Regions from separate parts of the Mus musculus genome. Here region 2 is reported to be linked to region 1. Evidence: microRNA targets listed by miRTarBase, many of them from high-throughput screens and not tested one by one. Region 1 holds a microRNA gene; the other region holds the end of a gene's coding sequence. Distances are between the middles of the regions.
Evidence for each region. Region 1 holds the annotated microRNA mmu-miR-153-3p (UUGCAUAGUCACAAAAGUGAUC, at 1,642-1,663, opposite strand). A microRNA usually pairs through its seed, bases 2 to 8, with sites in the 3' UTR of a target mRNA and lowers its output. Matches are read on the target gene's strand: a 7mer-m8 pairs with bases 2 to 8, a 7mer-A1 pairs with bases 2 to 7 and ends in A, and an 8mer does both.

Region 2: the mRNA of Sel1l is a reported target of mmu-miR-153-3p. Seed matches in the 3' UTR shown: 7mer-A1 at 4,189-4,195.

The regions. Positions count from the first base shown.
Region 1 is chr12:117,247,523-117,252,522 of GRCm38, reverse strand. Mir153 (microRNA 153) reads right to left here and starts at 1,706; the gene lies at 1,638-1,706. Ptprn2 (protein tyrosine phosphatase, receptor type, N polypeptide 2) reads right to left here. Exons shown (of 23, transcript NM_011215.2): 18 at 4,747-4,866; 19 at 3,823-3,989. All of the region lies in intron 2 of Gm5441 (predicted gene 5441), which reads left to right.
Region 2 is chr12:91,805,813-91,810,812 of GRCm38, reverse strand. It overlaps Sel1l (sel-1 suppressor of lin-12-like (C. elegans)), which reads left to right. Exons shown (of 21, transcript NM_001039089.1): 21 at 760-4,770. The coding sequence ends at 969. Among named protein-coding and RNA genes, the nearest start is that of Ston2, 22 kb to the right of the region's middle.

The DNA of each region.
Region 1 (5,000 bases):
GAAAGCTTTTCTTTTCTTTTTTTCCTTTTTTTTTTTTTTTAAATTTGACTTCTACTGCAGTGTTACTAGACTCAGCTACTTCTGATAGAAGTCTGAGTTCCCCCTCCCCCCACGACGGAACTAGCAAATGGGAATTGAAGGGCAGATGCAGAGCCTGGATAAGATATGGCCCCCTACAGACAGGTCATGTTCAAAGCTGTTTTCAGCTGCTCTTGGTCTCTGGCAGCTCTGTCTATATAATCTGTAAAAAACCTTCACCATTTTAGAGCCTCCGGACCACCCACCGAGGCTCCAAAAAGGGGGAGTTCTCAGAACTATGAGGGCAAAACAAGTGTGCTCTCTCTTGGTCCTTTCTGAGAGAGCCTTTTGTGGTCACCGGTGTGAGGTGCATTATGGGAGGAGGGGAGAAACCAGAGACAAACTCCCTCTCAATAGAGCCCACATATCAGGATACCGAAAAATAACCAGGTTAGAAAGCAGATCCACTTGGCTCTCCTGCTAAAGTTTCCTGTTCCCCACTGGGTTCCAGCTTGGACACACAGAGGTGCTAAACACAGAGCGTGAAACTAGAGCCTGTGCTGAGGGTTGAGGTGTGGCAGAGATGGAGCCCTTGCCTGGCAGGCACAAAGCTCTGTGAGACCAGGGGCCAGGCCCACTGGGTGGCTTTCCTCTCAAAAGCTTTCTTTTTCTGCAGAGTTCCCCTGCTAACAGGAACAACCACAGACCCATGCCTTTAACTCCTGGCCACACTGTATGCTTAGCTGCTGTGGGTTGGGAAACGGTCTGCATACCCACAGATGGCTAGTTACCCGGTTTACTCCGTGCTGCTCTCCGGATGGGAGCAAGAGAAGATGCACTGTAAGAAAAGGGATCTGTAAAGCAGACCACTGTTAACTCTCACACCCGTGGTAGCAAAATGTACTCACGATCTCTCTAGGTAGGAGTGTGACCCAGGCTAAGTGGCTGCCATCCAAATCTCCATTCCTACGGTCCTATCTTCCTCTACAGGAGGCTTAAGGTGTGCTTTCTCTGGATTGACTGCCCCAGGAGGCCTTTTCGAGATCTCACTGAAATGTTCATACCCGCCCCAGACCCCACCCTGTGCCAGACATATTTACATGCAACCCGGGGCTGGGTGGGAGACACAGTGGATGGAAATACTTGTGGCGTTATAGCTTAGAACTTTATTAACAAGGAACCACAGGTTATAACAGCGTGAAATACCACAGATAGAAAAGCAAAACCATCCCACAGAGAGCCCGTGTGTTCATCCGAGGACCTGAGATGCAAGGGCTGGTTGTTCATGAAGATGAGCAATACACAGTTGTCTCGCTTTTTGTGTTTTTGTTTTTGTTTTTGTTTTGTTTTTTTGTTTTTGTTTTTTTTTTGTTGTTGTTTTTTCTTTTTTTTTTTGCTCTTAGACAGGTTACCAGCAAGCGAGGTCTCCGACATTGAGCAGAAATGGATACTATGTGGACTTTTGCAGGAGGATCGCCCCAAGAAGGAACCGTTAGCAATACAAACCAACCCTTTGGTCACTGAGTGAGTCGCCATGCAAACGAACAGCAAGCAAAGTCAGGTGAGGTCGTTAGAGGCTCAGAGAGGGGCCCCCATGTCCCTGCTGCAGTCACAGTTTCCAATGATCACTTTTGTGACTATGCAACTGGGCTCATATTACTAGCTGCAACGTCACAAAAATGACACCGGCCACCGCTAAGTAGCTGGCAAAGTAAGGGTTTGTCGGTTTGACAGTGAGCAGCGTTAGTGGATGCATGGAACACAGCAAGAGGTGCAGAGAGGAGAAGAGGGAGGGAGGGAAAGAGGGAGGGAGAGAGAACACGGAGACTGGGGAGAGAAGAGAGGTTTGTAGAGCCAAGCCCTCACATGTGACTCTAATTATCTCTTAGCAGTTTCTCTTTAAAGTGTAAATGTATGCCCCCTGGGCTCCAGCAACAGTTAATTACACATCTTGGGTGCCTGACACACACTCTAGGCCTGCTGAGAACACTAGGCTATTGTTCCAAGACTAGAACCCCCCTCCCCTGAACAAGGTGGGGTCCACAAAGGTGGCTTCCTATCCGTCTAGCTGACACTGGCAACTTTATTTCTAAGCCAGGGTATCCAGAGAGTGTGGTCATTTGTGCCAACTATCCAGGATAAAGAAAGGGTAAAAGGGTCCTCAAGTGAGCTGTTGGATCCTGCACAAAGCTTCAAGAGCAGCTTTCTCCCCCACTGAAGCCTGCAACACGGGGGTTCAAAGTCTGTTTAATATATGATGTTACATAAACCTTGGATCATGTCATCTCAGACTCTGGAGTTGGGGAGACTTGGGGATTCAAATTTTCTCCATGAAGTGTCATGAACCTTGAGGGCTGGATATGGGTATGTTTCATTCCATATATGAATACAGACACGGGCCTATACACATATATGTGCAAACCCCTTGGATGCGCTTAAGAGACAGGTAGTGAGATGGACAGCCATCTGCATAGCTGCATCCACTTTGCCAGTCATAAGCAAAAGACTTCCTATGTGTATCTTCAGGAGGTCTGTACTGGGAAGGGTCTGGTGGCTAGGGAATTGGGGTAGGAAGGAAGGCGCTGTGGCTGTTTCTCTGATATTCTCGGGTTTCTGAATGCTCCTATGGGGAGGTGACAACTGGGCAGGAGCCACTAGCCTTGGTACCAAATTCCCATCTTTCTTTAAACTCTTTCATGAAATTTCTTTTCAAAGAATGTCTCATTCAGACAAAGAAATTTTATTTCTAGCACTTGAAAAGCAGAGGCAGGCAGATCTCTGTGAGTTCCAGGACAGCCAGAGGCTACATAGGGAGACCCAGTCTGCAAATATTCTTTTCAGTGTAGACTAGAAGTAGCATCATGTTAATCAGAATTTGTAAGATGAGAATTTAAGCAGCCCAGGCCCATCTTGGCTCTGTTTCTATCTCAACACTCTCCTTGACTTCAGGCTTGGAGACTGTCATATTATCTGGTGACACAACAGTTTGTAAAACGCCATGCCCTGGCTCCCTAATTCCTTGTCTGAGAATCTGCAGGGCAGCTGGACGAGCAGGCTTCCAGTTAGCTACTTGTGAGACACAGAACTTGACACTGGCATGGATAAGATGTCTCTGCACTTATTACCACTTTGGGTGGCACTGACCTATCTATCACGAGTGTGATGGGCAAACAGCTCATCTACCTCATATTTTTCTTTGTTTTACACCGTCAATATCTTCCTGTAAGAAAGTCTAGCATTCATCTCAACAGCTCAATAAAGACACTTTGAAAGGAGACAATTTTTTTTTATGGCTGGCTGATTTGGAGCAACAAATAAACAAACAAACAAACAAAAAATCCAGTGCATTAAAAAGACTGTCACTTTCAAAACTGCACTAAACACACATACACATTCATGTGCTCGATATATTTAGGCTTCTATACAAGACTCTCTATTCTAGAACCTGGCCTTTCCCTGGCAAAATTTCCTTAGCCTGGCTGGAAGATGAGTCGCCAAATTAAAAAAAAAAAAATCTGACTTTACTAAACTGTATGGGATAAAAGTCTTAGGTAGGTCTCAGAATCTTATTAAATTATGCTTAGACCTGCAGAGCTCTACGATGCCTGCTGCCTCACCTTTATCTGATGGACTGATGGACAGTCACTCATACAGAACAGGGGCACTAACTACACACACCCTTCCCTCTCTCCCTTCCTCTTCCTGCCCAGTTGTTGCTTTGGAGGCAGCATCTCAAAACCTGAGAGACCTGGCCCAGCCCACACACTCTAGTCGCTACAGTCTGCAGCATGCTCTTTGTTTTACCTGCGGAAATCCAGGAGTGACCTCGTGGAGGAAGGGACTCCCTGGTCATACCAACTCAGGAAGTGGAACTGGGTCACCGTGCGAGTCTCGTTGGTCTGCAGGTTCTTCAGGTAAAAGCTTCTCACCAGGAAATCCTGGCACCATATGTGCTCAGAGACTAGATTGACCTGGTGGGGACAGATTAGCAAAGCTCGTGAGCCCAAGACTGCAGAGCACAGCATTGTGTTTGGGGAGAGAGGAGACTATGGCGAGGAGACAGACAGGTGAGGTCTGCTTTGCCCCAAGGTCCCCTCTGCTCTGAGTTTAGCTGGTTTAGATCAGGGGACACAGGGGACATAAGACTCAGCAGATTCTGAGGAGTCCTGTATCTCTCAAGGTTAGAGACTATGACTTCCCAGTGATACTGTTAGGGCTCCTGTGAGACCTCTAACATGCTCCCCATGTGAGTCCTTCCTACCTTAAACACCACAGTTATTGCCTTCATCCGGTATGTGTAGGAAACCCAGCAAGGGAAATCTGCCCCTTATAGGAAGGTCAAATACTACAGACCCATGTCTCAGGCAAGAAACCCACCAGCCACTAGAATATGGGCAGCATTCTCTGTGAAAATGGACCTCACCTGAATACTTGTTATTTGAAACCTGGGCCACCTTTGCATGACAGACTTTTTTTCTTCTTCTTATCAGCCTTGAGACTTAATACAACTGTGATATGGAATGACAGCATTTATTCTTGAGTTTATCCCTAACTAGGTTGCAGTGTAAGGCACTGGCTCTCTTGGCTGTATAACACCTGGATCCCTCTGATGTCAACGTGCTGACAGCCCTCCCTGGGGATGTCCTAGCCCCACAGGTTAGGTTGTGGATGAGGACTAGAGACATATGCTTCTTGTCACGCCCCTGAGTAGGCACCCGGTCCTGGTACCTCGTAGACATGGTAGAGGTTGGAGCCTTCATCGGGCCAGTAGTGATGGCACTGCCGGACGCCGTTCTCGGAGAGGGGTGTCAGCATGACAATGACTGCACAGCCGCTTTCCCACACCATCTGCAGGTGATACAACTTGTGGTTACTCCCGTCAGAAACAGTCTCCAATATCCCACTCCTGAGGAACTTACTTCTCTCTCCTTAGATCCTGCACACTGCAGCTGCTTCAGCCCTCTGAATACATTATCTCAATG
Region 2 (5,000 bases), 25 Mb from region 1:
AGAAAGAGAACAGTAAGATTCTCCAACTGAAACAAAAAAAAAAAAAAAAAAAAAACAAAGCAATCCCAGTTCATAAAAAAAAGCAAGAGAAATAAGTATTGATGAGAAGGAGGTCAGACTAGATGAACAGACACAAAATTCCCCGGGAACATAATCATTTCCTGGAATTTTTTTTTCCTACAAAATTAAGCACCTGCGCCTACAGATGTGTATTATGAGGGCTCTCGGGCATAATTTCACAAAAGCTCAGAGACTAGGAATGTAACTTGTAAGTTCAGATTTCTTTGTAAAATGGTGTGCATTTTAATTAAAACAACCAAAAAGAGGTGTTTGTTCATCAAGTGGACACCCGGTCCTGTAGCTGTCAGTGCCATGGGCGGAGCACAGCTGGCCGTCACCTGCCTGCTGTCACTGCGGACAGGTTAGAGGTGTGCCAGGATTCAGACTTGGGGGCGGAGGGGTCTTTTATTGTTCTGCTGATCCTTTCAGATATCTACTAGAGAAATAGCTAGAAATTGCCGAATTAGATTTCTGATGGAAAAAACAGTTAGACATCTGATGTCCGCTATTAGGAAACCCTAGCTTAGTTCTTGAGACACACCCTCTGGGTGTCAGTAGAAGAAGGGTTTAAAAATCATCACAGTGTCCTAGAATTTAGTTTTTCAAAGTCTCATGCTTATGTCTACTGTTAAGTAACTAGTTTCAGAGTTCTTTCACCGACATCGAAGTGCTAATGCTTTTTGTGTTTTTCTCATTAAGATTCGAGATCTATTCACACAACTGGATATGGACCAGCTTTTGGGACCCGAGTGGGACCTTTACCTCATGACCATCATTGCACTGCTCTTGGGTACAGTCATAGCTTACAGGCAGCGACAGCACCAGGACATACCAGTTCCCAGGCCCCCAGGGCCACGGCCGGCTCCTCCCCAGCAGGAAGGACCACCAGAGCAGCAGCCACCACAGTAGCAGCCACACACTCACCTTGGTCGGTGACCACTGGGGAGCTGCTTGCTGAGAACGCTTGCATTTGATGTAGGGCTCTGGATGGTGGCACCGCCTGGAAGAGGCGTGAGGCGTGTTGAATCCCAGAAGCTGCTTAGAACCTGCTGCCTTCCTTTTCAGGGATGCGCGGCTCTCGGCAGAGCTGCAGTGAATGTTTGTTTCAGTGCCATACGGAATGACAACTCTCAGTGGCTTTCCTCTTTCCTTTTTCTTTCTTCGTTCTGCAAACATACACAAGACACTCGAGTCATGTCTACTGTACCCTGTCTTTCCTGAGAGACCTTTCGTCATCCTGTTGATGTGCATAACTTCTTACCTGTCTTCTAAGGTCCTGAGCATTGACAACCTGGGGAAACCCAGTTAGTTGCAAGTTTAACCCTAAAAACATGCTTAAGTCTGAGACTAGAACTTGCCATTAAGTCAAAAGCAAAACAAGCCAAGCAGGACGTCTTCAGGGTGTTTGGGAAATGCAGTAACTGGGAAATTTTACCAGTCTACATGCCAGGTCATATGTTCGGCACTCTTATTTTAAAAGGGATTATTGATCGGATTCCTGTACTGTGACTCTGACACTTCCTAGCAAACTTCTCTTCCTCAAAGACTGAAAGGCTTTGCTAAAGACTTCTTCGTGATGTCACATCCCTGCCATGGAGTAGAAGTCAAACTCAGTCAGCTGACTCCGTGCTCCCACAGAGGACTTTGCCCCAGCTACTCATGTGAGTTGCATATACAGAGCCCTAGTCCAGACGCCAGAGGATGATCTAAATGGAGAAATCAGAAAACAGCCTTAACCAACTTGAGGTGGGACCTGGGACATGCCCTCCCTCGGGTAGATTCGTTGCTTCCCGGATCTCATTTTACTTCACATTTCTTATGGCACAGAGAACAGACAACCCTCCCAAAGTCTTCAAATATGAAATGCTATTGTCAAGATTGGCAGGTGGTGACTTCCTTTGTAATACTAAAATACTAAAATACTCAGACAATGGAGGATGGGTTAGACCCAATGCATGGCAAAACCAAAGGCCTGGGTGCACCGTTGTGTATGCTGCGGGAGCTTTTTATTTCTGACGGTTTGATGTGGCTGTAGAAAGTCAGCCACTGAGTAGCTGTTGTGTTATCGCCCTTCTGTTGTAAACATTAGGAAATTAAAGCAGTTACACCCAGCATTGCCTGCTTCAGTAAGAGGCGAAAACAACGACTGAGAGCTTCACATAATCACCCCAAAGCCCAAGCTGAATTTGTGGTCTGTGTAATCAGATCTGTGGATGGTAGCGTTGGGTAGCCAGCACCCCATGGGAGCTCACGCCCCTGTTCATTATCGCCTTTCCATTGTTTTCTGTAATCCTTGTCTGCAATGAAACGACTTTATCACTTGTGGAGTTTGGAAAGCTTTGAGTTTGAATGTTGGGATTGTCATGAGAATTCAATGTAGTTCATCTGTATTGAACATGAAGGCTTTAAGTGTGAAGTTGTGTACATTTGTGTGTGCTCACAGTATTATGGGAAACCCAGGAAGCAAAAATTTTCCTCGAAGATATTTGCCTCCAAATTTGAAGACATGGCCACAGAGAGGCAGATCTTTGAGAGGCAGCCAGCATTCCTCTCAAAAATGTAATGTTGCTTTGGGCTTGTAAATAGTAAGGCTCATTTGGTGTCCTGTGCTGAAAGACTAGATTGTGAGCGGTGCAGTAAACAGGGTCCTTAGCCCTGCCTCCTCTCCCAGCCCCTCCCTCAGCCCAGGAAAGGAAATACGCTACGGCCCGGCCCGTCTCTGCCGTCTCTCTTCCTTTAGAAGGCAGGTTTTACATGATTCACAGGAACTGGGCACAGTGGTGTGTAGCTGCAGTCTCCTGTCACTCACAGTAGGCTGGGGGGTTAAGACCAGCTTAGGCAATACAACAAGACCCAGTCTCTACAAATAAATAAATAAAAAGATGGGAAACTCTAAGATGCCACTGGCTTCTGTGGTTTTCCTGTGCCATCCACCTCAGGCCTCCTTGGATGGCAGCAGTTTTGCCTCCATCTTTACTTCCCACAGAAAGTACTTGAAGAAAATATCTCTTAAAATAGCATACACTACCTAAGGCTGGACGGGACAGTCTAGGTTTGTTCTTCATGTAGCAGACTTGCCCCTTGCTGTCCTTTTACGAACGGTCACTACAGCAGATGCCCTTCCCGAGACTTTTACCCTCTGTTTCCAGCCTGCGGCGTCTACTGCGAGAACTCAGTTCTCGCTGCTGCTTTCCTAGATGATCTCAAGCGCTTTGCTCTGTTCTCTTACCTAGAGTCTGTGGGACGTGGGACCGAAGCAAATAGGCACTGGGTTCGGTGGTTCTCTTAAAAATAATGCACAGTACTTACTAATGGCATCCATTTGAATAAAGTGGCAATAAAGCTAGTTGATGTCAGTGACATTAAGCCAACTCCAGGATTCGGGAGTTTTAGCATTAGGATTTAGATTTACCAGCTAGAGCGTGGCTTCCTTCCTCCCTGTAGCCCATCCCTACTGCTGCCTTTCGTGGTCTGTCTCGCAGGTCTGTCTTGCGGCCTACCAAGGCTCTCTGACGAGCCTCTGTTCTCCTGCGCCCCGCCCCGTTGGGCAACCAGCTACATCAGAGTCTAGAGAACACAAATTTTACTTCTGTGGCGGTGTACAAAAGTGGAGTTTTTGTTTTTGAAGTTTTTGTTTCTGATTTCTGGGTTTTCTTAGTTACTAGCCGATAATACAGAAAAAGGTCTGACAGGGGCTTTATTTTCCCCCAAATTTATTAATACCTAAACTAGATTAATGTAAAAGTACAAGTCCTAAATCTTGGTACTCCTGAAGGCTTGTAGTTCTTCTGAAGATATATATAGATAGATAGATTAACTTCTGAACATATTACCACTCACCATCTCTACCTTGGAGAAGCGTTAGAACCCTGCTCCAGGGGTCTGGTGAGGAGCGGGTGGCTGGGGGTTCTCTACACAGAATTTGGTTTCGTCTGGCTGCTTGGTTGGGTTTTCTCTCTCTCCTCTGCTCCCCAGGTTTGCTCTCTGGTGCTTAGGAGCAGCCATGGCAGCCTCCACATGCAGACCTCAACCCCTTGTGTGTGTGGCATTTGCAACCAGTGACCAACCACATCTGCAAAACACGCAAGAAGATACGCAAGAAGTAACCGGAACAAAGGAAAACTATTTTATGCAAAAAAAAAAAAAAAAAAACTATTTTCATCAGTTATTGCCTCAGATACGAGAGAAACTATTTCTGGATGCTGTATTGTCAGGTTTTTAAGTGGGTATTTTTCTTTGAAAAAGAAGCTAAGTGTCTTCACCCACTAGGGACTTGAAGAAAATTTGAAATAACCCCATATACCAATGATTTCTATGTTAAAGAGCCTGTTTACACATCAGAAAGCCGATTTTGTATGCATATGAAGGGCCCTTTGGTTATGAGCAGGGAGCCATCCAGATGTTCTTTGTTTACTATTTATTGGTGAACGATCTGACACTATTTCTCTTTTATTTAAGAAACAACGTTGATATGATCAAAGTATGACCACTAGAGATGTTGAGGGACATGCTTAAAGAGCATAAGCTGACGTCATGAAGGAACACCATACTAGACTTTTTGTAAATTTATTTTGTATTTAATGGAATGCAGTATAACGGCTGGTGACGTGTATTATAATTGTGTAAACAAATCCTGTTAATAGAGAGATGTACAGATTCATTTTGTACTGTATCTGGAAACTTGTGAAATAAAGACCCCCTCTCTGGTTATCTGTCTGGGCGTGTGCCACATTCAAAGGCCTTCATGTGCAGACTTTGCTCTTGACCTGAAGATTGAACATTTTAGCTAACTCTTAGTGAAGTACAGAAATGAAATTCTAGAATGCATTCATCTGGGGAAATTTGAATCTGTCTTTCATTTTTAATATCTGTCAGTCAGATTCCCATGAACTAATTGAACATTGTCCTGGGGAAGATATAAATTTACCAGGAACTGGTAA